2 linked regions of the Xenopus tropicalis genome follow. The protein of the gene in region 1 interacts with the protein of each later gene in a pairwise test. Links are inferred from orthologs where the notes say so. Each region holds a gene or a part of one and is shown on either strand. Other genes may lie near its edges. The genes, in order: nelfb and nelfe.

The links.
Region 2: the proteins of nelfb (region 1) and nelfe interact in binary tests that used the Homo sapiens proteins (3 or more experiments, as listed by UniProt). The link is inferred for Xenopus tropicalis from reciprocal best matches to the Homo sapiens genes NELFB and NELFE.

What each region holds. Positions count from the first base shown.
Region 1 is NC_030684.2:4,118,170-4,129,813, forward strand, and holds the start of nelfb (negative elongation factor B), read left to right. Parts: upstream 1-5,605; 5' UTR 5,606-5,647; coding exon 5,648-5,749; intron 5,750-11,644. Other genes in the region: fcn2l (ficolin-2), read left to right, coding at 934-1,068, 2,058-2,305. UniProt on the Homo sapiens protein: Essential component of the NELF complex, a complex that negatively regulates the elongation of transcription by RNA polymerase II.
Region 2 is NC_030684.2:74,052,357-74,064,000, reverse strand, and holds nelfe (negative elongation factor E), read left to right. Parts: upstream 1-1,386; 5' UTR 1,387-1,422; intron 1,423-2,682; 5' UTR 2,683-2,705; coding exon 2,706-2,780; intron 2,781-5,763; coding exon 5,764-5,833; intron 5,834-6,055; coding exon 6,056-6,201; intron 6,202-6,341; coding exon 6,342-6,416; intron 6,417-6,504; coding exon 6,505-6,542; intron 6,543-8,720; coding exon 8,721-8,967; 3' UTR 8,968-9,093; coding exon of another isoform or gene 9,094-9,238; 3' UTR 9,239-9,317; coding exon of another isoform or gene 9,318-9,372; 3' UTR 9,373-10,191; coding exon of another isoform or gene 10,192-10,294; 3' UTR 10,295-10,670; coding exon of another isoform or gene 10,671-10,780; 3' UTR 10,781-11,153; downstream 11,154-11,644. UniProt on the Homo sapiens protein: Essential component of the NELF complex, a complex that negatively regulates the elongation of transcription by RNA polymerase II.

The sequences.
Region 1 (11,644 bases):
GCCTCTCTGTGTGCTCCGGGGGAACATTGGCGGCCCAGTGCCAAGCAGTCCACGGCCCGGCGGTTGGGGACCCCTGCTTTAGCTGACCTTTCTGGTATTTGACTCTTGATTGTCCGTGACCACAATCGTCTGCCACATGTCCTGACCTTTTTGCTACTCCTTGTTTTTGCCTTTTCTCTAAAGAGTACATTGGTCCCTGTGGGCATCACAGCAGAAAGTTCTAGAGTTCTTAAGGGTTTCATTAAAGACCAGTCCTTGCAAGGTTACTCCCATCTCAATGAGGAGTTAGGCTAGTGTCAGTAGTCATTTCTGGGTTCCAGACACGCAGTTGTTTTTACATGTAGTTTGCCTTCATTGTCAAAATTTGGCCAAACACCCCAAGAATCTTACACGTGACTTGGTACCACGCTATACCATATAGCGGTGTATTTATTCAAAACTATTACTCAGATCTATTTTTCTAGCATTGTAGGGATGCACCAAATCTGTTATTTTTGGACTTGGCCAAAGCCGGAACGCTTCGTGAAAGATTCGGGCGAATAACGGACCAAATCCAAATCCTAATTTGCTTGTAGAAATCGGGCTATGGAAGGGTTAAATAGAAGCACATGCTTAAAAAATTTTCACGTAAACAAAAGTTACGTGTGTCGCGATCAGTAACCCAAAACCCAGAACAATTGAAACGGTCCCGGTCACCAGGGTCGGACTGGGGGGGTGCAGGGCCCACCGAGGCTCCCACCCCAGGGGTCCTGCAGGTGCCCCCTCCGTACCTTATATTTTTTTCATGCCTGGTTCAGAAATCAAAGAAACGGTTACTGCAAAGTGACTTTCAAATATGTTACAGGTTTTAGAATTTTTGTTTTTGAATAAACTTTCTCTCTATTAATTCCATTGAAACAAAGTCACTTTTTGCTTCTTTTTGTTTCTTTAAAGGTACATGGGAACTGAGGGTTGATCTACAAGACTTTGAGAACGCAAAGCACTTCGCTAAATACGAATCCTTCCGGATTCTGGGGGAGTCAGAGAAATTTAAGTTATTAATTGGAGCCATGAAGGGGGGTAATATAGGTAAGTGAACAGTATTAATTCTCTTTGTTGCAATATACAAATTTTTTGTATTCGGACTCAATCCGAAACTTTCGTACTCGTTGCGGCAATCCGATTTTATCGCGTAATTTTTGACGCACAGTACGAAAAAGCTGCGCAAATTAGCGCAAAAAAATCTCAGGAAATGCGCACAGTTCTATAAATTAGATAAAATACAAACTTTTTGTATTCGGACTCAACCTGAAACTTTCGTACTCGTTGCTACAATACGATTTTGTCACGTAATGTTTTCCGCACAGTACAGAAAAGCTGCGCAGATTAGCTTGAAAATCTCAGAAAATACGCACCGTTCTATAAATTAGATACAAAAATTCATATTTTATTTGGACTCAATCCGAAACTTTCGTACTCGTTGTGGAAAAAATCCAATTTTGTTGCGAAATTTTTGCCACACAGTACGAAAAAGTTGAGAAAATTAGCAAGGTACGAAAACGTATTTTTTGTATTCGGAGGCAATCGTACTGATAAATGCCCCCCCCCCTAATATTGGCCATTCTATAACATACTAAGGGGCATATTTACTTATCCATGAACGCTCCAATTGTTCGATCGGTCCAATCGTATTTTACGTGACTTTTTCGTACCTTGTGCGACTATATCGACGCATACGCGACTTTTCTGTATTTTTAGCACGAATAAATCGGATCGGTTTTGCAGCTGTTTACAATCGTTCGGTACGAAAATTTAGTGATTTTCGGATCGCCAATACGATATTATCGTGACTAATACGATTTTTTTCGTAAGCATTTTCGGGATATTTACGATCTTCAGAAATTTTCGTTTCCAATCCGAATTTTTCCCATTCGGGATTCGAACTCGTGTTTTGATAAGTCTGCCCCTAAAAGTTAACTTTAGGGTAACCCACCCCTTTACAAAAATATCATTAATAATCAGATGGAGAGGAATTACGTTCGAGCTTGTGTGTAACGTCATGTTTCTCTTATTTTCAGAGGATGCTATGAAGGTTCACAACACCATGCCATTTTCCACCAAGGACCAAGACAACGACATACTGCCGGAACACTGTGCCGATAGATATAAGGGAGGATGGTGGTACAACGGCTGCCATCATTCAAACCTGAATGGGTTGTACTTGTTAGGAAGTCACAGCAATACGGCCGAGGGGATCAACTGGTACGGAGGCAGAGGGCACAACTATTCCTACAAACGTTCCGAAATGAAAATTAGGCCTTCGTAAACTCTCAGTAATTACATTTTAAAACCCTACGGGGCCTAAAATCAAGGGGCGGATTCATCACCATGTAACGTTTTTCACGTTTTTGCGGCAAAAATCACAAATTCAAGTTTCTGAAATTAGGGATTATTAAAAACCCTGCCAATCCATGTAGAAGTCGATGAGAATTGTATTTTCAAAATTCATTTGGACACTTGGCTTGTTGAAAATAAAGGCTAGAATGTGACTTCAGTGCAAGTTTGTTTGTTTTTTGTCTTTCAAATAAGTATATTTTTAAACTTCTGTGTCTTCAAATAAAAAAAAAACTTAAAAATTCAAATACAGGTATCGGATCTCTTATCCGGAAACCCGTTATCAAGAAAGTTCCGAATTATGGGAAGGTCATCTCCCATAGACTCCATTATAAGAAATAATTCTAATTTTTAAAAATGATTCCTTTTCTCTGTAATAATAAAACAGTACCTGTACTTGATCCCAACTAAGATATAATTACCCCTTATTGGGGCAGAACAGCCCTATTGGGTTTATTTCATGGTTAAATGATTCCCTTTTCTCTGTAATAATAAAACAGTACCTGTACTTGATCCCAACTAAGATATAATTACCCCTTATTGGGGCAGAACAGCCCTATTGGGTTTATTTAATGGTTAAATGATTCCCTTTTCTCTGTAATAATAAAACAGTACCTGTACTTGATCCCAACTAAGATATAATTACCCCTTATCGGGGCAGAACAGCCCTATTGGGTTTATTTAATGGTTAAATGATTCCCTTTTCTCTGTAATAATAAAACAGTACCTGTACTTGATCCCAACTAAGATATAATTACCCCTTATTGGGGGCAGAACAGCCCTATTGGGTTTATTTAATGGTTAAATGACCTACTGGGAGCTGCTATCTTGCTCCCTTCCCATGGCTTTCAGAAGGAGCCGGTGCTACACATTAGAACTGCTTTCAGCTAACCTATTGTTTCTCCTACTCCCATGTAACTGGAGGAGTCCCAAGCCGGACTTGGATTTCTTACTATTGAGTGCTATTCTGATACCTACTGGGAGCTGCTATCTTGCTCCCTTCCCATTGTTCTGCTGATCGGCTGCTGGGGGTGAGGGGGGGGGGGATATCACTCTAACTTGCAGCGCAGCAGTAAAGTGTGCTTGAAGTTTATCAGAACACAGGTCACATGGCTGTGGTACCCAGGGAAATAAAAAATATGACTAGCCCCATGTAACATTTCAAAATGAAATATAAAAAGAACCTAAATCCCCATATAACTCGGTCATTTTCACACATTACCTTCTCCTGAATTAGCCCCTGCTCTCTCACTGGGACCCTGACAAAAAATACCCCCATAAAACATTAATATCAGTATGTTCCACCAAAAATTCTAAAAAAATTAAAAGTATATATGGGAAAACCTGCCTTTTTAAATCATATAATCCCTACCCAAGCCCTGCTCCCCGTCTCCAGTTACTGGGATGGCTGATAATTCCCTCTGTGCCCAGTTACTGGGATGGCTGATAATTCCCTCTGGGCCCAGTTACTGGGATGGCTGATAATTCCCTCTGGGCCCAGTTACTGGGATGGCTGATAATTCCCTCTGTGCCCAGTTACTGGGATGGCTGATAATTCCCTCTGGGCCCAGTTACTGGGATGGCTGATAATTCCCTCTGTGCCCAGTTACTGGGATGGCTGATAAGTCCCTCTGTGCCCAGTTACTGGGATGGCTGATAATTCCCTCTGTGCCCAGTTACTGGGATGGCTGATAATTCCCTCTGTGCCCAGTTACTGGGATGGCTGATAATTCCCTCTGGGCCCAGTTACTGGGATGGCTGATAATTCCCTCTGTGCCCAGTTACTGGGATGGCTGATAATTCCCTCTGTGCCCAGTTACTGGGATGGCTGGTAATTCCCTCTGTGCCCAGTTACTGGGATGGCTGATAATTCCCTCTGGGCCCAGTTACTGGGATGGCTGATAATTCCCTCTGGGCCCAGTTACTGGGATGGCTGGTAATTCCCTCTGTGCCCAGTTACTGGGATGGCTGGTAATTCCCTCTGTGCCCAGTTACTGGGATGGCCGGTAATTCCCTCTGGGCCCAGTTACTGGGATGGCTGGTAATTCCCTCTGTGCCCAGTTACTGGGATGGCTGATAATTCCCTCTGTGCCCAGTTACTGGGATGGCTGATAATTCCCTCTGTGCCCAGTTACTGGGATGGCTGGTAATTCCCTCTGTGCCCAGTTACTGGGATGGCTGATAATTCCCTCTGGGCCCAGTTACTGGGATGGCTGATAATTCCCTCTGTGCCCAGTTACTGGGATGGCTGGTAATTCCCTCTGTGCCCAGTTACTGGGATGGCTGATAATTCCCTCTGGGCCCAGTTACTGGGATGGCTGATAATTCCCTCTGGGCCCAGTTACTGGGATGGCTGGTAATTCCCTCTGTGCCCAGTTACTGGGATGGCTGGTAATTCCCTCTGGGCCCAGTTACTGGGATGGCTGATAATTCCCTCTGGGCCCAGTTACTGGGATGGCTGATAATTCCCTCTGTGCCCAGTTACTGGGATGGCTGGTAATTCCCTCTGGGCCCAGTCCAGCCGGGAAGTAACTACAGAAATCAGGATGCTGCATTAACCCCAGACATGATATACATATGAGTGCGTTGAACTACAACTCCCAGCAGCCCCAATCCTGAAATTTATAGCTTAGGGATCAACTGCAGAAAGTAACAAATGGCAGCCACCCCCCAACCACATCCCATTAGAAAGTTATAGCACATCCATGCAGACAGCTTGAGCCTGAATAGAACAGAAATGGGAGCCTCTGTCTATACTGTCCGATGGCATGCTGGGTATTGTAGTTTTAAATCAATCCCAGCTGTAGTCTAAATGTTTAATAAAAACTACATTACCCAGCATGCAATGGTCAGGCATGTCAGGTTTACTAGTGGCTAGTTTCCAAACTACAAACAAAAAATAGCCCAAATCTGTACCTTGGCGGGTTTGTACTTGGGAAACCCGCCCGGGGTTTAAATTAGTAGCCCAATTTGGCGGAAAAAAGCGCCAAGCTGGTATGGCACATTCCCGCGCTTTACTAGCAACCGCTATGCGTATGACGTAATCCTACTCCGTACGGACCCGCCCCCCGTCGGCTACGCGCTGCCTACGTGCCCTCATACGTGCTACGTAACGCCGAAATCTCGCGAGAAGAGACTTGGATTGGCTGTCCGGCCGGGACCGACACAGTAGCGGCACTGCGGGAGTTTTAAATAGCGCTCAGGGGGCGGGGCGATGCCTCTGGGCTCCGACGGTTCCGGTACTGACAGGAAACAGCCGCCTGTTTGTGGGACAATGTTCGCCGGCCTGTCCGAACTGGGGGTCGCCAATGGGGAGGAGCTGAAGGAGACCCTGACCAATTGTACTGAGCCCCTGAAGGCTATTGAGCAGTTTCAGGTGCGAAACTGCCCCGCAGTGGGGTAGTAGGAGGGGCCCTTGGTGCTAATGATGCCTACAGGGCATGCTGGGAATTGTAGTTTACCCCAGACATAGGGAGGAGCCTTCAGGCTGCAAGGGGTGCTGGGAGTTGTAGTTTGCCCCAGACATAGGGAGGAGCCTTTGAGTTTAGGAGCCTTCAGGCTGCAAGGGGTGCTGGGAGTTGTAGTTTGCCCCAGACATAGGGAGGAGCCTTTGAGTTTAGGAGCCTTCAGGCTGCAAGGGGTGCTGGGAGTTGTAGTTTACCCCAGACATAGGGAGGAGCCTTTGAGTTTAGGAGCCTTCAGGCTGCAAGGGGTGGTGGGAGTTGTAGTTTACCCCAGACATAGGGAGGAGCCTTTGAGTTTAGGAGCTTCAGGCTGCAAGGGGTGCTGGGAGTTGTAGTTTACCCCAGACATAGGGAGGAGCCTTTGAGTTTAGGAGCTTCAGGCTGCAAGGGGTGCTGGGAGTTGTAGTTTGCCCCAGACATAGGGAGGAGCCTTTGAGTTTCGGAGCCTTCAGGCTGCAAGGGGTGCTGGGAGTTGTAGTTTGCCCCAGACATAGGGAGGAGCCTTTGAGTTTAGGAGCTTCAGGCTGCAAGGGGTGCTGGGAGTTGTAGTTTACCCCAGACATAGGGAGGAGCCTTTGAGTTTAGGAGCTTCAGGCTGCAAGGGGTGCTGGGAGTTGTAGTTTGCCCCAGATATAGGGAGGAGCCTTTGAGTTTAGGAGCCTTCAGGCTGCAAGGGGTGCTGGGAGTTGTAGTTTACCCCAGACATAGGGAGGAGCCTTTGAGTTTAGGAGCCTTCAGGCTGCAAGGGGTGCTGGGAGTTGTAGTTTACCCCAGACATAGGGAGGAGCCTTTGAGTTTAGGAGCCTTCAGGCTGCAAGGGGTGCTGGGAGTTGTAGTTTACCCCAGACATAGGGAGGAGCCTTTGAGTTTAGGAGCCTTCAGGCTCAAGGGATGTTGGGAGTTGTAGTTTACCCCAGACATAGGGAGGAGCCTTTGAGTTTAGGAGCCTTCAGGCTGCAAGGGGTGCTGGGAGTTGTAGTTTACCCCAGACATAGGGAGGAGCCTTTGAGTTTAGGAGCTTCAGGCTGCAAGGGGTGCTGGGAGTTGTAGTTTACCCCAGACATAGGGAGGAGCCTTTGAGTTTAGGAGCCTTCAGGCTGCAAGGGGTGCTGGGAGTTGTAGTTTACCCCAGACATAGGGAGGAGCCTTTGAGTTTAGGAGCCTTCAGGCTGCAAGGGGTGCTGGGAGTTGTAGTTTGCCCCAGACATAGGGAGGAGCCTTTGAGTTTCGGAGCCTTCAGGCTGCAAGGGGTGCTGGGAGTTGTAGTTTACCCCAGACATAGGGAGGAGCCTTTGAGTTTAGGAGCTTCAGGCTGCAAGGGGTGCTGGGAGTTGTAGTTTACCCCAGACATAGGGAGGAGCCTTTGAGTTTAGGAGCTTCAGGCTGCAAGGGGTGCTGGGAGTTGTAGTTTGCCCCAGACATAGGGAGGAGCCTTTGAGTTTAGGAGCCTTCAGGCTGCAAGGGGTGCTGGGAGTTGTAGTTTGCCCCAGACATAGGGAGGAGCCTTTGAGTTTAGGAGCCTTCAGGCTGCAAGGGGTGCTGGGAGTTGTAGTTTACCCCAGACATAGAGAGGAGCCTTTGAGTTTAGGAGCTTCAGGCTGCAAGGGGTGCTGGGAGTTGTAGTTTGCCCCAGACATAGGGAGGAGCCTTTGAGTTTCGGAGCCTTCAGGCTGCAAGGGGTGCTGGGAGTTGTAGTTTACCCCAGACATAGGGAGGAGCCTTTGAGTTTAGGAGCCTTCAGGCTGCAAGGGGTGCTGGGAGTTGTAGTTTACCCCAGACATAGGGAGGAGCCTTTGAGTTTAGGAGCCTTCAGGCTGCAAGGGGTGCTGGGAGTTGTAGTTTGCCCCAGACATAGGGAGGAGCCTTTGAGTTTAGGAGCCTTCAGGCTGCAAGGGGTGCTGGGAGTTGTAGTTTGCCCCAGACATAGGGAGGAGCCTTTGAGTTTAGGAGCCTTCAGGCTGCAAGGGGTGGTGGGAGTTGTAGTTTACCCCAGACATAGGGAGGAGCCTTTGAGTTTAGGAGCTTCAGGCTGCAAGGGGTGCTGGGAGTTGTAGTTTACCCCAGACATAGGGAGGAGCCTTTGAGTTTAGGAGCTTCAGGCTGCAAGGGGTGCTGGGAGTTGTAGTTTACCCCAGATATAGGGAGGAGCCTTTGAGTTTAGGAGCCTTCAGGCTGCAAGGGGTGCTGGGAGTTGTAGTTTACCCCAGACATAGGGAGGAGCCTTTGAGTTTAGGAGCCTTCAGGCTGCAAGGGGTGCTGGGAGTTGTAGTTTACCCCAGACATAGGGAGGAGCCTTTGAGTTTAGGAGCCTTCAGGCTCAAGGGATGTTGGGAGTTGTAGTTTACCCCAGACATAGGGAGGAGCCTTTGAGTTTAGGAGCCTTCAGGCTGCAAGGGGTGCTGGGAGTTGTAGTTTACCCCAGACATAGGGAGGAGCCTTTGAGTTTAGGAGCTTCAGGCTGCAAGGGGTGCTGGGAGTTGTAGTTTACCCCAGACATAGGGAGGAGCCTTTGAGTTTAGGAGCCTTCAGGCTGCAAGGGGTGCTGGGAGTTGTAGTTTACCCCAGACATAGGGAGGAGCCTTTGAGTTTAGGAGCCTTCAGGCTGCAAGGGGTGCTGGGAGTTGTAGTTTGCCCCAGACATAGGGAGGAGCCTTTGAGTTTCGGAGCCTTCAGGCTGCAAGGGGTGCTGGGAGTTGTAGTTTACCCCAGACATAGGGAGGAGCCTTTGAGTTTAGGAGCTTCAGGCTGCAAGGGGTGCTGGGAGTTGTAGTTTGCCCCAGACATAGGGAGGAGCCTTTGAGTTTAGGAGCCTTCAGGCTGCAAGGGGTGCTGGGAGTTGTAGTTTACCCCAGACATAGGGAGGAGCCTTTGAGTTTAGGAGCTTCAGGCTGCAAGGGGTGCTGGGAGTTGTAGTTTGCCCCAGACATAGGGAGGAGCCTTTGAGTTTAGGAGCCTTCAGGCTGCAAGGGGTGCTGGGAGTTGTAGTTTGCCCCAGACATAGGGAGGAGCCTTTGAGTTTCGGAGCCTTCAGGCTGCAAGGGGTGCTGGGAGTTGTAGTTTACCCCAGACATAGAGAGGAGCCTTTGAGTTTAGGAGCTTCAGGCTGCAAGGGGTGCTGGGAGTTGTAGTTTGCCCCAGACATAGGGAGGAGCCTTTGAGTTTCGGAGCCTTCAGGCTGCAAGGGGTGCTGGGAGTTGTAGTTTACCCCAGACATAGGGAGGAGCCTTTGAGTTTAGGAGCCTTCAGGCTGCAAGGGGTGCTGGGAGTTGTAGTTTGCCCCAGACATAGGGAGGAGCCTTTGAGTTTAGGAGCCTTCAGGCTGCAAGGGGTGCTGGGAGTTGTAGTTTGCCCCAGACATAGGGAGGAGCCTTTGAGTTTAGGAGCCTTCAGGCTGCAAGGGGTGCTGGGAGTTGTAGTTTGCCCCAGACATAGGGAGGAGCCTTTGAGTTTCGGAGCCTTCAGGCTGCAAGGGGTGCTGGGAGTTGTAGTTTACCCCAGACATAGGGAGGAGCCTTTGAGTTTAGGAGCCTTCAGGCTGCAAGGGGTGCTGGGAGTTGTAGTTTACCCCAGACATAGGGGGGAGCCTTTGAGTTTAGGAGCCTTCAGGCTGCAAGGGGTGCTGGGAGTTGTAGTTTACCCCAGACATAGGGAGGAGCCTTTGAGTTTAGGAGCCTTCAGGCTGCAAGGGGTGCTGGGAGTTGTAGTTTACCCCAGACATAGGGAGGAGCCTTTGAGTTTAGGAGCCTTCAGGCTGCAAGGGGTGCTGGGAGTTGTAGGTTACCCCAGACATAGGGAGGAGCCTTTGAGTTTAGGAGCTTCCAGGCTGCAAGGGGTGCTGGGAGTTGTAGTTTACCCCAGACATAGGGAGGAGCCTTTGAGTTTAGGAGCTTCAGGCTGCAAGGGGTGCTGGGAGTTGTAGTTTACCCCAGACATAGGGAGGAGCCTTTGAGTTTAGGAGCCTTCAGGCTGCAAGGGGTGCTGGGAGTTGTAGTTTACCCCAGACATAGGGAGGAGCCTTTGAGTTTAGGAGCTTCAGGCTGCAAGGGGTGCTGGGAGTTGTAGTTTACCCCAGACATAGGGAGGAGCCTTTGAGTTTAGGCGCTTCAGGCTGCAAGGGGTGCTGGGAGTTGTAGTTTACCCCAGACATAGGGAGGAGCCTTTGAGTTTAGGAGCCTTCAGGCTGCAAGGGGTGCTGGGAGTTGTAGTTTGCCCCAGACATAGGGAGGAGCCTTTGAGTTTCGGAGCCTTCAGGCTGCAAGGGGTGCTGGGAGTTGTAGTTTACCCCAGACATAGGGAGGAGCCTTTGAGTTTAGGAGCCTTCAGGCTGCAAGGGGTGCTGGGAGTTGTAGTTTACCCCAGACATAGGGGGGAGCCTTTGAGTTTAGGAGCCTTCAGGCTGCAAGGGGTGCTGGGAGTTGTAGTTTACCCCAGACATAGGGAGGAGCCTTTGAGTTTAGGAGCCTTCAGGCTGCAAGGGGTGCTGGGAGTTGTAGTTTACCCCAGACATAGGGAGGAGCCTTTGAGTTTAGGAGCCTTCAGGCTGCAAGGGGTGCTGGGAGTTGTAGGTTACCCCAGACATAGGGAGGAGCCTTTGAGTTTAGGAGCTTCCAGGCTGCAAGGGGTGCTGGGAGTTGTAGTTTACCCCAGACATAGGGAGGAGCCTTTGAGTTTAGGAGCTTCAGGCTGCAAGGGGTGCTGGGAGTTGTAGTTTACCCCAGACATAGGGAGGAGCCTTTGAGTTTAGGAGCCTTCAGGCTGCAAGGGGTGCTGGGAGTTGTAGTTTACCCCAGACATAGGGAGGAGCCTTTGAGTTTAGGAGCTTCAGGCTGCAAGGGGTGCTGGGAGTTGTAGTTTACCCCAGACATAGGGAGGAGCCTTTGAGTTTAGGCGCTTCAGGCTGCAAGGGGTGCTGGGAGTTGTAGTTTACCCCAGACATAGGGAGGAGCCTTTGAGTTTAGGAGCCTTCAGGCTGCAAGGGGTGCTGGGAGTTGTAGTTTACCCCAGACATAGGGAGGAGCCTTTGAGTTTAGGAGCCTTCAGGCTGCAAGGGGTGCTGGGAGTTGTAGTTTACCCCAGACATAGGGGGGAGCCTTTGAGTTTAGGAGCTTTCAGGCTGCAAGGGGTGCTGGGAGTTGTAGTTTGCCCCAGACATAGGGGGGAGCCTTTGAGTTTAGGAGCTTCAGGCTGCAAGGGGTGCTGGGAGTTGTAGTTTACCCCAGACATAGGGAGGAGCCTTTGAGTTTAGGCGCTTCAGGCTGCAAGGGGTGCTGGGAGTTGTAGTTTACCCCAGACATAGGGAGGAGCCTTTGAGTTTAGGAGCTTCAGGCTGCAAGGGGTGCTGGGAGTTGTAGTTTACCCCAGACATAGGGAGGAGCCTTTGAGTTTAGGCGCTTCAGGCTGCAAGGGGTGCTGGGAGTTGTAGTTTACCCCAGACATAGGGAGGAGCCTTTGAGTTTAGGAGTCTTCAGGCTGCAAGGGGTGCTGGGAGTTGTAGTTTACCCCAGACATAGGGAGGAGCCTTTGAGTTTAGGCGCTTCCAGGCTGCAAGGGGTGCTGGGAGTTGTAGTTTGCCCCAGACATAGGGAGGAGCCTTTGAGTTTAGGAGCTTCCAGGCTGCAAGGGGTGCTGAGAGTTGTAGTTTGCCCCAGACATAGGGGGGAGCCTTTGAGTTTAGGAGCCTTCAGGCTGCAAGGGATGCTGGGAGTTGTAGTTTGCCCCAGACATAGGGGGGAGCCTTTGAGTTTAGGAGCCTTCAGGCTGCAAGGGGTGCTGGGAGTTGTAGTTTACCCCAGACATAGGGGGGAGCC
Region 2 (11,644 bases), about 70 Mb from region 1:
TAATCAACTGCAGCAACAGAGGACTCGGTGACAAAGTGCAGTTTACCAATCCAGGAACCCCGATCCTTGAGCATGTGCTTATATACCAAAGCTTTCAAGACCAGTATCACATGGGGCCCGTGATCTCCACCTAGACTCATGGTTTTTCAAGACAGGAAGAGAGACTGCCTCATACATGCCAGTACTCTAGATTTATTTACACCCAAAGAGCACACACATCAGGAATATGAGGAATAACAGCTGGAATACACCTCTCATCCTAATTACTACTGTCTCTAAATTATATTGCCTTATTTAAAGAGTATTAAGTCCAACCTCAAACAGTATGGCAACCCCTTTTTCATGTATCCTGACCCATAAAATAAGAACCCCTGACTTTAACAATAGTGTAATTAACATGATATAAAAGTGATTGGCTCTGCTGAGGCACTTTCCAAATACTTCATGAGAACCACACAATTGAAAGGTCATAAATTAAAGGAGATGTACAACTGAAGTCTATGAAAAATTCTCTACCTAGGCAACATAGCAATTCCCACTAAATGAACAGAAAGTGCATTCTTAAAGTGCACCACAAATAAATATTATGAAAGTTAGTATAAATAACTTTTTTTTAATATCTGACAGTGCCACAGTAGGTGTCGAACTGGCCCCCAGGGATTCCAGTAAAACTCCTGGTGGGCCCAAAAAAAGAATAGATTATAGTACATAAAGATAAAAAAACACTAGGAAAATATAGAGGGTGAGAGAGAAGTGGGTGAAAAATAGTTTGAAGGTTTTTTTCTGGGCCCCTGGCATCCCACTCTGACACTGGCCACAATGGTTTTTTAGTTTCCCTTTAATGACCAGATTTGGTGTGTACCCGTTTATACACACGTGTGTGTGTGTGTGTGTGTATGTATGTATGTGTGTGTGTATGTATGTATGTATATATATATATACACACATACACACACACACACACTTTTTTCCCCTAAGTCAGGGCAGAATGGCAATCACATCCTCTGCCATTACCCTAATAGATGAAAATAAGAAAATTCGGCACGTTATATTTACAGCAAACAGAATAGTTGAGCTCTGCAATAGAAGGGCCACTCTGCAGAACCCGATGAGTGCCAAGCTGGCAGCTGTGCGGGGCACGCATATTCTAAAACGTAAACCACACTCGCTACAGATCCCTCACAAACCACGCCTATCCTCCTCCACTTCCATTCATTAGCTTGACACTTCACTCACAATTTCTCAAATTTGACTCTCCTACCCCACCTGTACTATATGGAGCACTGTCCTGTCCAGCACCTGTCACGTGACCGTAACGTCATGGCGAGTCTTGTTCCTGTCTCGGATATTACTGAGGGGCCGGGACTAGTGTTTCCATTTTTTTATGTGACGTAAAAAGAACGCGACCGACTTTACAGAGAGGTAAATAAACAGGTTGTTGTGTGTTTTTCGTTTCAAACATAGTAGAAATGTGTCTAATGAGTATTTTTTCAGTTCGAACCTGTTGGTATTTGGGAGCTTTGGAAACGTGAATGTTGAACAATGTAGGGCCAAGCCTTCCAAATGCGCACCGATCGGGGACTTCGTATTGCATTTGCCATTGCAACAAATTGGCGGGTCTGGTAGGGCTTCACGTTCTTGCAGTTGTCAGTCGGAACAACAAGGATAATGGAAGTTGTGTTACCTGAATATGGCATCTCCTGCCATGAAGTATGGGGAGGGGGGGGGGGCTACCTAATGTTGGCCAGACTTTTAAATGTTTTGTCATATATTAAGTGATTGTACCATTTTATGTCATTCCTACTGCATTTATCCGTCTGAAGAAAATATTCGTGCTAAAAAGATTTTATAGTTTTGTTGTGTCCATTAAAAGATAGAAATTGCCTGACAGCTGTGTTGCAGTAACTGCAAGCTGCTTTTTAATACCTCCCACCATGCAACCTACTTTCATCTCTCAGTCTCAACCATGGAGAGATTTTATCTATTCCCAACCAAGATCTTCTTTCCCATCTGATTGATTAGTAGGACAGTGTTGCTCGGATAGCCTCCTGGCTGGTAAAAAATGATGTTTGAAGCCAATGTTATTAATAAGAAAAAAAAGATAACAATATGGCAAGGCCAGAATGCTTTTTTTTCCCAGAGATGGTGGCAACCCTAGATTTTGCTGATTATTAAAGTGTATGATTGTTTCTAGTTACTGGATCATCCTAAAATCACTCACTACTTGTTTTTAAATTTTTCTGTGTGACTAGCTTAGGTTGGTAAAGGAAACATCACTTGTTATGCATAACACTTATTGTGAAGGTAAATTCAACTTTTGTTACAGTGTTGTATGTACAATAGACAGGCCTTTTACCTTAACACTTAATAAGTGTGTGTGGATATTTAGTACTAATTGTTCAATATTAATAATATTAAAAAAATAAATAAATATATATATATATATATATATATATATATATATATATATATATATATATATATAGTTTTAAACCTTGTTCAGCAATATGGATGTCATTGAATTATTATCTACATAGATGTGTCAGGCCACTGGAGAGATGTGGGTTGAATATGCTTGTGACAAGTAATGTATTTCATCATTGTTATATTAAGCTGAGATTTGGACATAAACTATGTTGTATATTATATGTAACATCTGTTTGTATCAATATTTATCTACAGAAGTACCCCTCTGTGCAAGCATCATGGTCCTGCTACCAACCAGCCTTACAGAAGAAGAGGAGGCTTTGCAGAGGAAGTTTGCAAAGCTGAAAAAGAAGGTAAAGACTCTATGGGGCACATTTACTAATCCACGAACGGCCGAAAAGCGTCCGAGTGCGTTTTTTTTGTAATGATCGGTATTTTGCGTTTTTTTCGTCGCCGTCCCAACTTTTTTGTGAATTGTCGCAAATTTTTCAAGCGCTCAATACGAAAAAGTAGAGGCAATTCACGAAAGTCGTAACGGCTACGAAAAAGTTGCGACAATTCGCGAAAGTCGTAACGGCTACGAAGAAGTCGCGACAATTCACGAAAAAGTCGTGATGGCGGCGAAAAAATCGCAAAAGATACGAAAAAGCCGCAAAATGTTCGTTTCCAATCCGATTTTTTCTCATTCGGGATTTGGATTCGTGGATTAGTAAATCAGCCCCTAACTGTTTAAAATAATAAGTTGTTGCACTACAGCAGGTCATTGTGTATGTGACCTTGCATTGTTGGATTAATAGTATTGTGTATAGTACTGTATGTATTGGTTAAATTACATTTAATGTTTAGGAAGACAAATTACATGATAAAAACACATATAAACACATAACTGCAAATTGTCTTAAAATACTAGTATCCTATTTTCATCATACCTGAAGTTAGTTTTCATGAGAACATCTCCTTTAAATAGAGGTTTGGAGGGCTAGGTCCATGTATATTAATGTATTTTGTGTAATAGTGGTGTGAAAAACTATTTGCCCCCTTCCTGATTTCTTATTCTTTTGCATGTTTGTCACACTTAAATGTTTCTGCTCATCAAAAACCGTTAACTATTAGTCAAAGATAACATAATTGAACACAAAATGCAGTTTTTAAATGAAGGTTTACATTATTAAGGGAGAAAAAAAAACTCCAAATCTACATGGCCCTGTGTGAAAAAGTGATTGCCCCCCTTGTTAAAAAATAACAACTGTGGTTTATCACACCTGAGTTAAATTTCTGTAGTCACCCCCAGGCCTGATTACTGCCACACCTGTTTCAATCAAGAAATCACTAAAATAGGAGCTACCTGACACAGAGAAGTAGGCCAAAAGCACCTCAAAAGCTAGACATCATGCCAAGATCCAAAGAAATTGAGGAACAAATGAGAACAAAAGTAGTTGAGATCTATCAGTCTGGTAAAGGTTATAAAGCCATTTCTAAAGCTTTGGGACTCCAGCGAACCACAGTGAGAGCCATTATCCACAAATGGCAAAAACATGGAACAGTGGTGAACCTTCCCAGGAGTGGCCGGCCGACCAAAATTACCCCAAGAGCGCAGAGACAACTCATCCGAGAGGCCACAAAAGACCCCAGGACAACATCTAAAGAACTGCAGGCCTCACTTGCCTCAGTTAAGGTCAGTGTTCACGACTCCACCATAAGAAAGAGACTGGGCAAAAACGGCCTGCATGGCAGATTTCCAAGGCGCAAACCACTTTTAAGCAAAAAGAACATTATGGCTCGTCTCAATTTTGCTAAAAAACATCTCAATGATTGCCAAGACTTTTGGAAAAATACCTTGTGGACCGATGAGACAAAAGTTGAACTTTTTGGAAGGTGCGTGTCCCGTTACATCTGGCGTAAAAGTAACGCAGCATTTCAGAAAAAGAACATCATACCAACAGTAAAATATGGTGGTGGTAGTGTGATGGTCTGGGGTTATTTTGCTGCTTCAGGACCTGGAAGGCTTGCTGTGATAGATGGAACCATGAATTCTACTGTCTACCAAAAAATCCTGAAGGAGAATGTCCGGCCATCTGTTCGTCAACTCAAGCTGAAGCGATCTTGGGTGCTGCAGCAGGACAATGACCCAAAACACACCAGCAAATCCACCTCTGAATGGCTGAAGAAAAACAAAATGACGACTTTGGAGTGGCCTAGTCAAAGTCCTAACCTGAATCCTGTTGAGGATGACCTTAAAAAGGCGGTTCATGCTAGAAAACCCTCAAATAAAGCTGAATTACAACAATTCTGCAAAGATGAGTGGGCCAAAATTCCTCCAGAGCGCTGTAAAAGACTCGTTGCAAGTTATCGCAAACGCTTGATTGCAGTTATTGCTGCTAAAGGTGGCCGAACCAGTTATTAGGTTCAGGGGGCAATTACTTTTTCACACAGGGCCATGTAGGTTTGGATTTTTTTCCTCCCTAAATAATAAAAACCCTCATTTAAAAACTGCATTTTGTGTTTACTTGTGTTATCTTTGACTAATAGTTAAATGTGTTTGATGATCAGAAACATTTTGTGTGACAAACATGCAAAAGAATAAGAAATCAGGAAGGGGGCAAATAGTTTTTCACACCACTGTAAGTGAAAGAAATCACTCACAAAATATGTGTACTAGGGGCTTTCCCTAATTGCATTAGTAGGAAAGTGCATACTTCAAACATACTGGACCTCTAATATATTAAAATATATTAAGTATAGTTTACCTTTTAAACAATCAAATATTAGTTTCTATATGCATTTTATAGCATTTGTCCATACTCTCACCCCAGCATTACCCTGTGGTCCAGCACAGTAACCAGTATGGTTTTATAGGATAGAGTAAAATGCACACTGTGCTTACTACAACCAATGCCCAGCTTGAGTGACAGATCTCACTATGGTCTCACTGTGGTTTAGTGCAGTTTAGCTGGTTGGATTATGGGACAGTGCTGGGCTGGGAAGTGGGTCAGAGACAATTGTGCAAAAAGAAGCTGCCTATTTTCTGCCTCTGATACTGATATGGTCATGCCATTTTAGGAATTTAATAGCTGTAATGAGGGCATGGAACTTTTTTTTGGGGGGGGGGGGAGTTGAGTATTCTCCTTTGAATGTATCTCTCGTGAGCACAATGTACACTTGTACTGTTTAAGCTCTACATCCTATACTAGTATATAGAAATTCTTAAAATCTGAGAGAAAATTGTAGCAGTTTTATATTGCATTTGAACAATAGCATGGTTCTTGAATTTTTAACAGGCTAAAACTACTGGCTCCACGTAGTTGCTACTCTTCTGTTTTTGTTTCATTCTTGCAGAAAAAAGCCCTTCTTGCTTTAAAGAAGCAAACATCCACGAACCAGACAAGCCAGACGGGAATAAAAAGATGTAAGCTGACCCAACTGTCCTACTACCAGCACATAATACATAATATTCAGTGTTTGTTTTTTTTATCATTCTGTATTCTCTGGCTCCTTGTGACTTATCTTTTATTTTATCTCTTCTGTAGTTGTTGTTTCTGTTGTTTACCATTTATATTTCATGACTTTATCCTATTAATCCACCTATTTTCCCCCTGTTTCTGGTTTACAAACACATTTTTTTTCTCAGCCCTCTCAGACCAGCCTGCAGTTGACACAGCTACAGCTACAGAACAAGCAAAGATGTTGGTGAAGACTGGAGCAATCAGTGCTATAAAGTCAGGGACAAAAAACAGTGGCTTCAAACGTTCTCGTACTTTGGAAGGCAAACTCAAGGTTCTCTTTCTTCACTTTGTCAAATGAAAGCTATTTTTGTAAATAATTTTTCCAGTGCTTTTTCCGTATTTTATAACTGCTAATAAACTATTTCTACATTTTGTAACAACCAATGTTTTTTTCCCCTTATATTTATTCAGGACCCTGATAAGGGACCTGTTCCAAGCTTCCAGCCTTTCCAACGTAGCGTTTCTGTGGATGAGGAACAGGCAGAGGTAACTGGGCCACAAATAAAATGGAAGAATTTATTGAGAGTTACATGGTGTAGCACATTAAATAATAAATTCCTCATTTCTTATACAGAGTTCCAGAAGGTCTCAGAGAAAATCACTCTATGAAAGGTAACAAGAAAATTCATGTTTCACAGCATATTTACACACTTGTCATTCACTTGTCTATGAATCTTTTCATTCATCCAGGTCATGATATACAGTATCTAGTAGAATAAAGTCTAAAACAGTTGGACTTTTTCTGACTTTGTTCCGAGTGGCTTCTTTAGTTCAAATGACTGGTAGGGAATATTGGACTGTGCAATAGTTATCAAAGAGGGGGACCTGGATATTGACGTATACAGAAAATCCACCCACAAAGATCAGTACTTGCTGTTTGATTCCCACTACCCTTTGGAACATAAACTGGGTGTTATTAGGACTCTACATCATTGGGCTGAAAATGTGGCATCCTATGCAGAGGCTAAAGAGAAGGAATACAAACATCTAAAAGGAGCACTGAAAACTTGACTGGGCCTTTATCAAACCTAAATTAAAGACAAGCAAAAAGACCAGACCAGCAAACAGAAGGGAGGAACACAGCAGGTGAAGCAATATAGTCAGCCCATATGTTTCTGGAACATCAGAAAAACTTAGGAGAATTTTCAACAAACCTCACATTCCTGTGTATTTCAAACCCAGCAACACTTAAAGTTGGTGCACTCTGAAGACCCTACACCAAAGCACATGAAAAGTAATGTGTTCTATGCTGTCCAGTGTAGTGAATGAAGAGTGCTCTGATTTATACATTGGGGAGACAAAACAACCTCTCTGTAAGGGAATGGCCCAACATAGGAGGGCTAACTACTCAGGTCAAGACTCAGCACTAGTAAAGTGCATATTTTGGAATGAGAGGACAGATGGTTTGAAAGAGGCCATTTATGCTAGCCTGGAAAAACCATCCCTGAACAGAGGAGGGGACCTGCAACACCAATTGTCATCAACATACAATATCGCTTTGACATCCTTACCCCGGCAGTTTCACAACAGTTCACACTTCCAGTCATGTACTTTGAAGGATTAAAACCTGCATCAATGAGAATCATGATACCATTGTAACTGGATCATACCTTCTTACACCTGTGAGTTTCAGCCAACACTTAACTGAAGTTCAATGGAACCATTATGATTGGATTCTCTAGGGTTTAAATGCTGGGGAATTCCCAACCAGTCAATTGAACTAAACCACTCGGATGAGTTTGTGAAAAAACTTAGAAAAAGTCCAGTTGTTTTAGACTTAATTCTACTAGATACTGATTGTTATTGACTTGTGCCAACGTTGGATGCCTCCTTGTGCCAACGTTGGATGCAGCTCTGGCGAGGATGAGATACTATAAACTTCTAATTTGATACATGAGTTGATACATTTTCTTATTTTTTGTCCTGCTGAGAATAGTCCCTCAGATTTATTAATTGATACAATAGTTGCTAATATTCTACAGATGCTGATGTATGAACTAATATAGTAATTAGTTACTAACATAGCAATTGCTAACAGTTCAAAGTATGCACCTGGATTACTGAGCTTCTAGACTTAACCTATCACCCTGTAATTGGTTCCCCCATCAGAGGTGCAGGCTAATAGGCCCAGCATTTTGGTTGGGGAAACCAATGTTTTCCTTTTTTTTTTTTTTTTTTTTTTTAAAATACAGCCCCCGCCATTGCTAGGCTGCCCACACTGAGAGGGAGCTTCCAGAGTGGGTGGCCGCATCGTCTGCTGCGCATGCACATAATGAGTATGTCTCCCCACTCACTCATTATGCGCTTTTGCCTGATGTAGGATTGGTGGATGTGATTCACCCTCCTACGTCACACATGAGTTGCGAGTTTTGGCATCCACTCATTATGCACGTGCGAATGCCACAACATGGCTGCCAGCAGCTATTGTTTCTCTTAATCAGAGTGCAGGCTCTATTAGCCTACACCTTTGGTGGGGTAACAATTTAAGGGGGGTAGGTGTCCTTTAAACACCAGAGAGAGAGAGAGAGAGACAGGAAAGTTTAAACTTCAGTATTAGAAAAAGAGAACAAAGTACAGAGTAAAGATGTATATATTTTTATAAACTACTTCTGTGTTATTCTACACTAATTAGTAGAGATAGCACAATAATTTTCTCTAGTGTGTTGAACTGTGTATAACTATTTAGAAATTTGGCTCATTAGAATGAGTAAATCTTTTAATCCAGATTTATTTTCTTATGTACTTCTTTTGTACCTTTTCCTTCCTAATTTTTTTCCCCCCTCATTCTAGTTTTGTCAGCCCGAGTGAGCGAATGAGAGATCCTGAGAGAGAAAGCGAGGAACGAGAGAGTGAGAGGGATACTCGTCGAGGAGAGAGGGAACTTTTAGAGAGAGAACCTTATGATAGAGATCGTGGAAGAGAGCGAGATCGTGACCGGGACAGAGAACGAGATAGAGACCGAAGTGAGAGAGACCGCGAAAGAGATCGTGAAAGGGACAGAGATGGCTTTTACCGCAGTAATTTGCCACTTTTTTGATTTTTACTGAAGCAGAGGGCTGGAATTATAGCTCTGCTATTCATCTTAGCTTCCCTTTGCCTAACTTCCTTACCAGGTCTTCATTTACTAATGATTTAACCAGTGCCTTTGTCATGCATCCTGTAGGATCAGATTCATTCCCTGAACGTCGGGCTCCAAGGAAAGGTAATACTGTTTATGTTCATGGTGTGGGCATGAACCAGACAATGCTTCGTGAGGCTTTTTCCAGCTTTGGGAACATTATTGATCTTTCTGTGGATGCTCCAAGGAAGTAAGTAGGCACTGTATGGACCTTACTAGTGTGCTTTTAGGCTGGCAACCTTTTAATTTTGGGGGCCTTTTATTCCCAGCTGTGCTTTTGTTACATATGAGAAGATGGAGTCAGCTGACCAGGCTATTTCAGAGGTGAGTTTTGCTGCATGGTTTCCTTTTACTGCCTCCTTTATTCCATTTGATACTGCTATTCTTTGTCATTGTCACTTTGGAGTATTAAACACATAGAACTGAAAAAATGGGATTTTGTTGTTTTTTTTTAAGCCGTTTTTGTTTTCTCAGATTTTTAGAAAATAAAGATTGGGCTCTTTATTTAAACAGCAAGGCTTCTAAAACTGTGCTATGCAGTGTTGTATGCTTCACTAAATGTTTGCTATAATTATCTGCTTGATTGTTTGCTATGATAAGTGTTGGAGGCCTTAAAGGAACAGTAACACCAAAAAATTTAAATGTCTTAAAGTAATTAAAATATAATTTACTGTTACCTAAACTGGTGTGTTTGCTTTAGCAACACTATTATATTTTATATAAATACCCTGCTGTGTAGCTACAGGGGCAGCCATTCAAGCTGGAAAAAAGGAGAAAAGGCACAGTTTTTATAACAGATAAGACACCATTGTATTCTACTGAGTTTATCTGTTATCTGCTATGTAACCTGTGCCCTTTCTCCTTTTGAATGGCTGCTCCCATGGCTACACAGCAGCTTATTTATATAAACTATAGTAGTTTTTCTGAAACAAACACACTACTTTTACCAGTGCAGGGAAATAGTACATAATATAATAATTATTTTGATACACTTTCATTTTTTGGTGTTACTTTTCTTTTAAAAGTATATCAAACAGCTATACTTTGAGAAGTTTAACCTCATGCCCCTATTGGGTCAAATTCCTTGAACCTCTGTAAAATTTGTTCTCACGTCTGAACTGAATTCTTCTTCTTCTAATTCAGCTTAATAACAAGGTGATAGAAGACATACCAGTGAAGGTTAGCATAGCTCGCAAACAGCCTATGTTGGAGGCAGCCACAGGAAAATCAGTTTGGGGTTCATTGGGTAAGTTGTAACTTTATATGTAAATGTTTCTCTTGCAATTTCTCTACAAATATAGTCATAAGGCTGCAGAGCTACATTATGGACTGCTGGTGAAAGGGACAGTACCAGCATGATATTGCTTTTACAAGGCAAGCTGTAGAAGGCAAGAATCTCTGCAAACCTGTAGCACCCGGTGGAGGTGGAATGTGGACTGCCTATTTACACTAAAGGGCAATTCAGAAGTTAATAGTGCAACCACATGGGTGCTCTGACAGCACAGGCAAAACAAAGAAGACTTAACCAATAAGAAAACTGTCCCCTTCTGCCCTGGATTGGTACTTAACATTATATAGTAAAATGTCACAGATTTATCTTCTGTTTTTCTTTTCCTTCACAGCTGTACAGAACAGTGTTAAAGGTTCACACAGAGATAAGAGGTCTCAGGTCAATTACTCTGAAGATTTATTTAGCGATGGTCAAACTGATGCTGATAAAAAGCCAGGATAAAGAGAAGCGAGGAGAAAGAGAATATTAGGGCCCAAGATCTCTATGTGTACATGGTACACATGGTTGAGGATGGTAAATAAAGTGACCGTTGACTATTTAAAGAAACAAGACTGTGCTTATATGCTATGCCCAAGATTTTTTTTTTTTAACTATAATTTAAAATGGCTTTTCAGTTATTTGTGGATATGTAGGTTACTGTTTGCATTGTCCCTTTAAATATGTACTCTACATTCCTGTAATAATGATTTAGTGACTACTTTCTACTAATTGGCTTTATCTCAGTTGTTTTGGGCACATTTACCATCTCAGCATGCATAGAGTATGCCAATAGACACAAGGAAGGTAAATAAAATTACTTGTATAAGGTACAACAGGAGGTATTGGGACCCAAGTTATTTCTTGAGTATCACAGTAATGGTATATGTTTTGTCACATGTAACAGCCTAAATTATAGACAACCTTAATATAACACTTTCCATTTCAAACTGGAGACTTGCTAGAAAAACTCACACACTCAACTATATTTTTCAGATGTGGTTTATCACTTAAGAACATATAAGTATGAGCTCTTCTGCTGTCTCAGCAGCACTGCAGCATGACTTAGAATGTTTCCAACTTGCCAAATTGGAAAAGCTGCTGAGGAGAAGGGTCCTTTGACAGGCATAATTCAGGCAGAAATGACCTTGTCTACATAAGCTGCGCTTGTGCTATTGACCTTTAAAGGATTATACATCTTTGGCCAAGAATGCGGAAATAAGACTAATATCACACTAGGCTTTTTCCCATTATTTGGCACACAATACTTTCTGCCATGGACAATACTTTTAGCCAGTGATCCCCAACCAGTGGCTCGGGGGCAACATG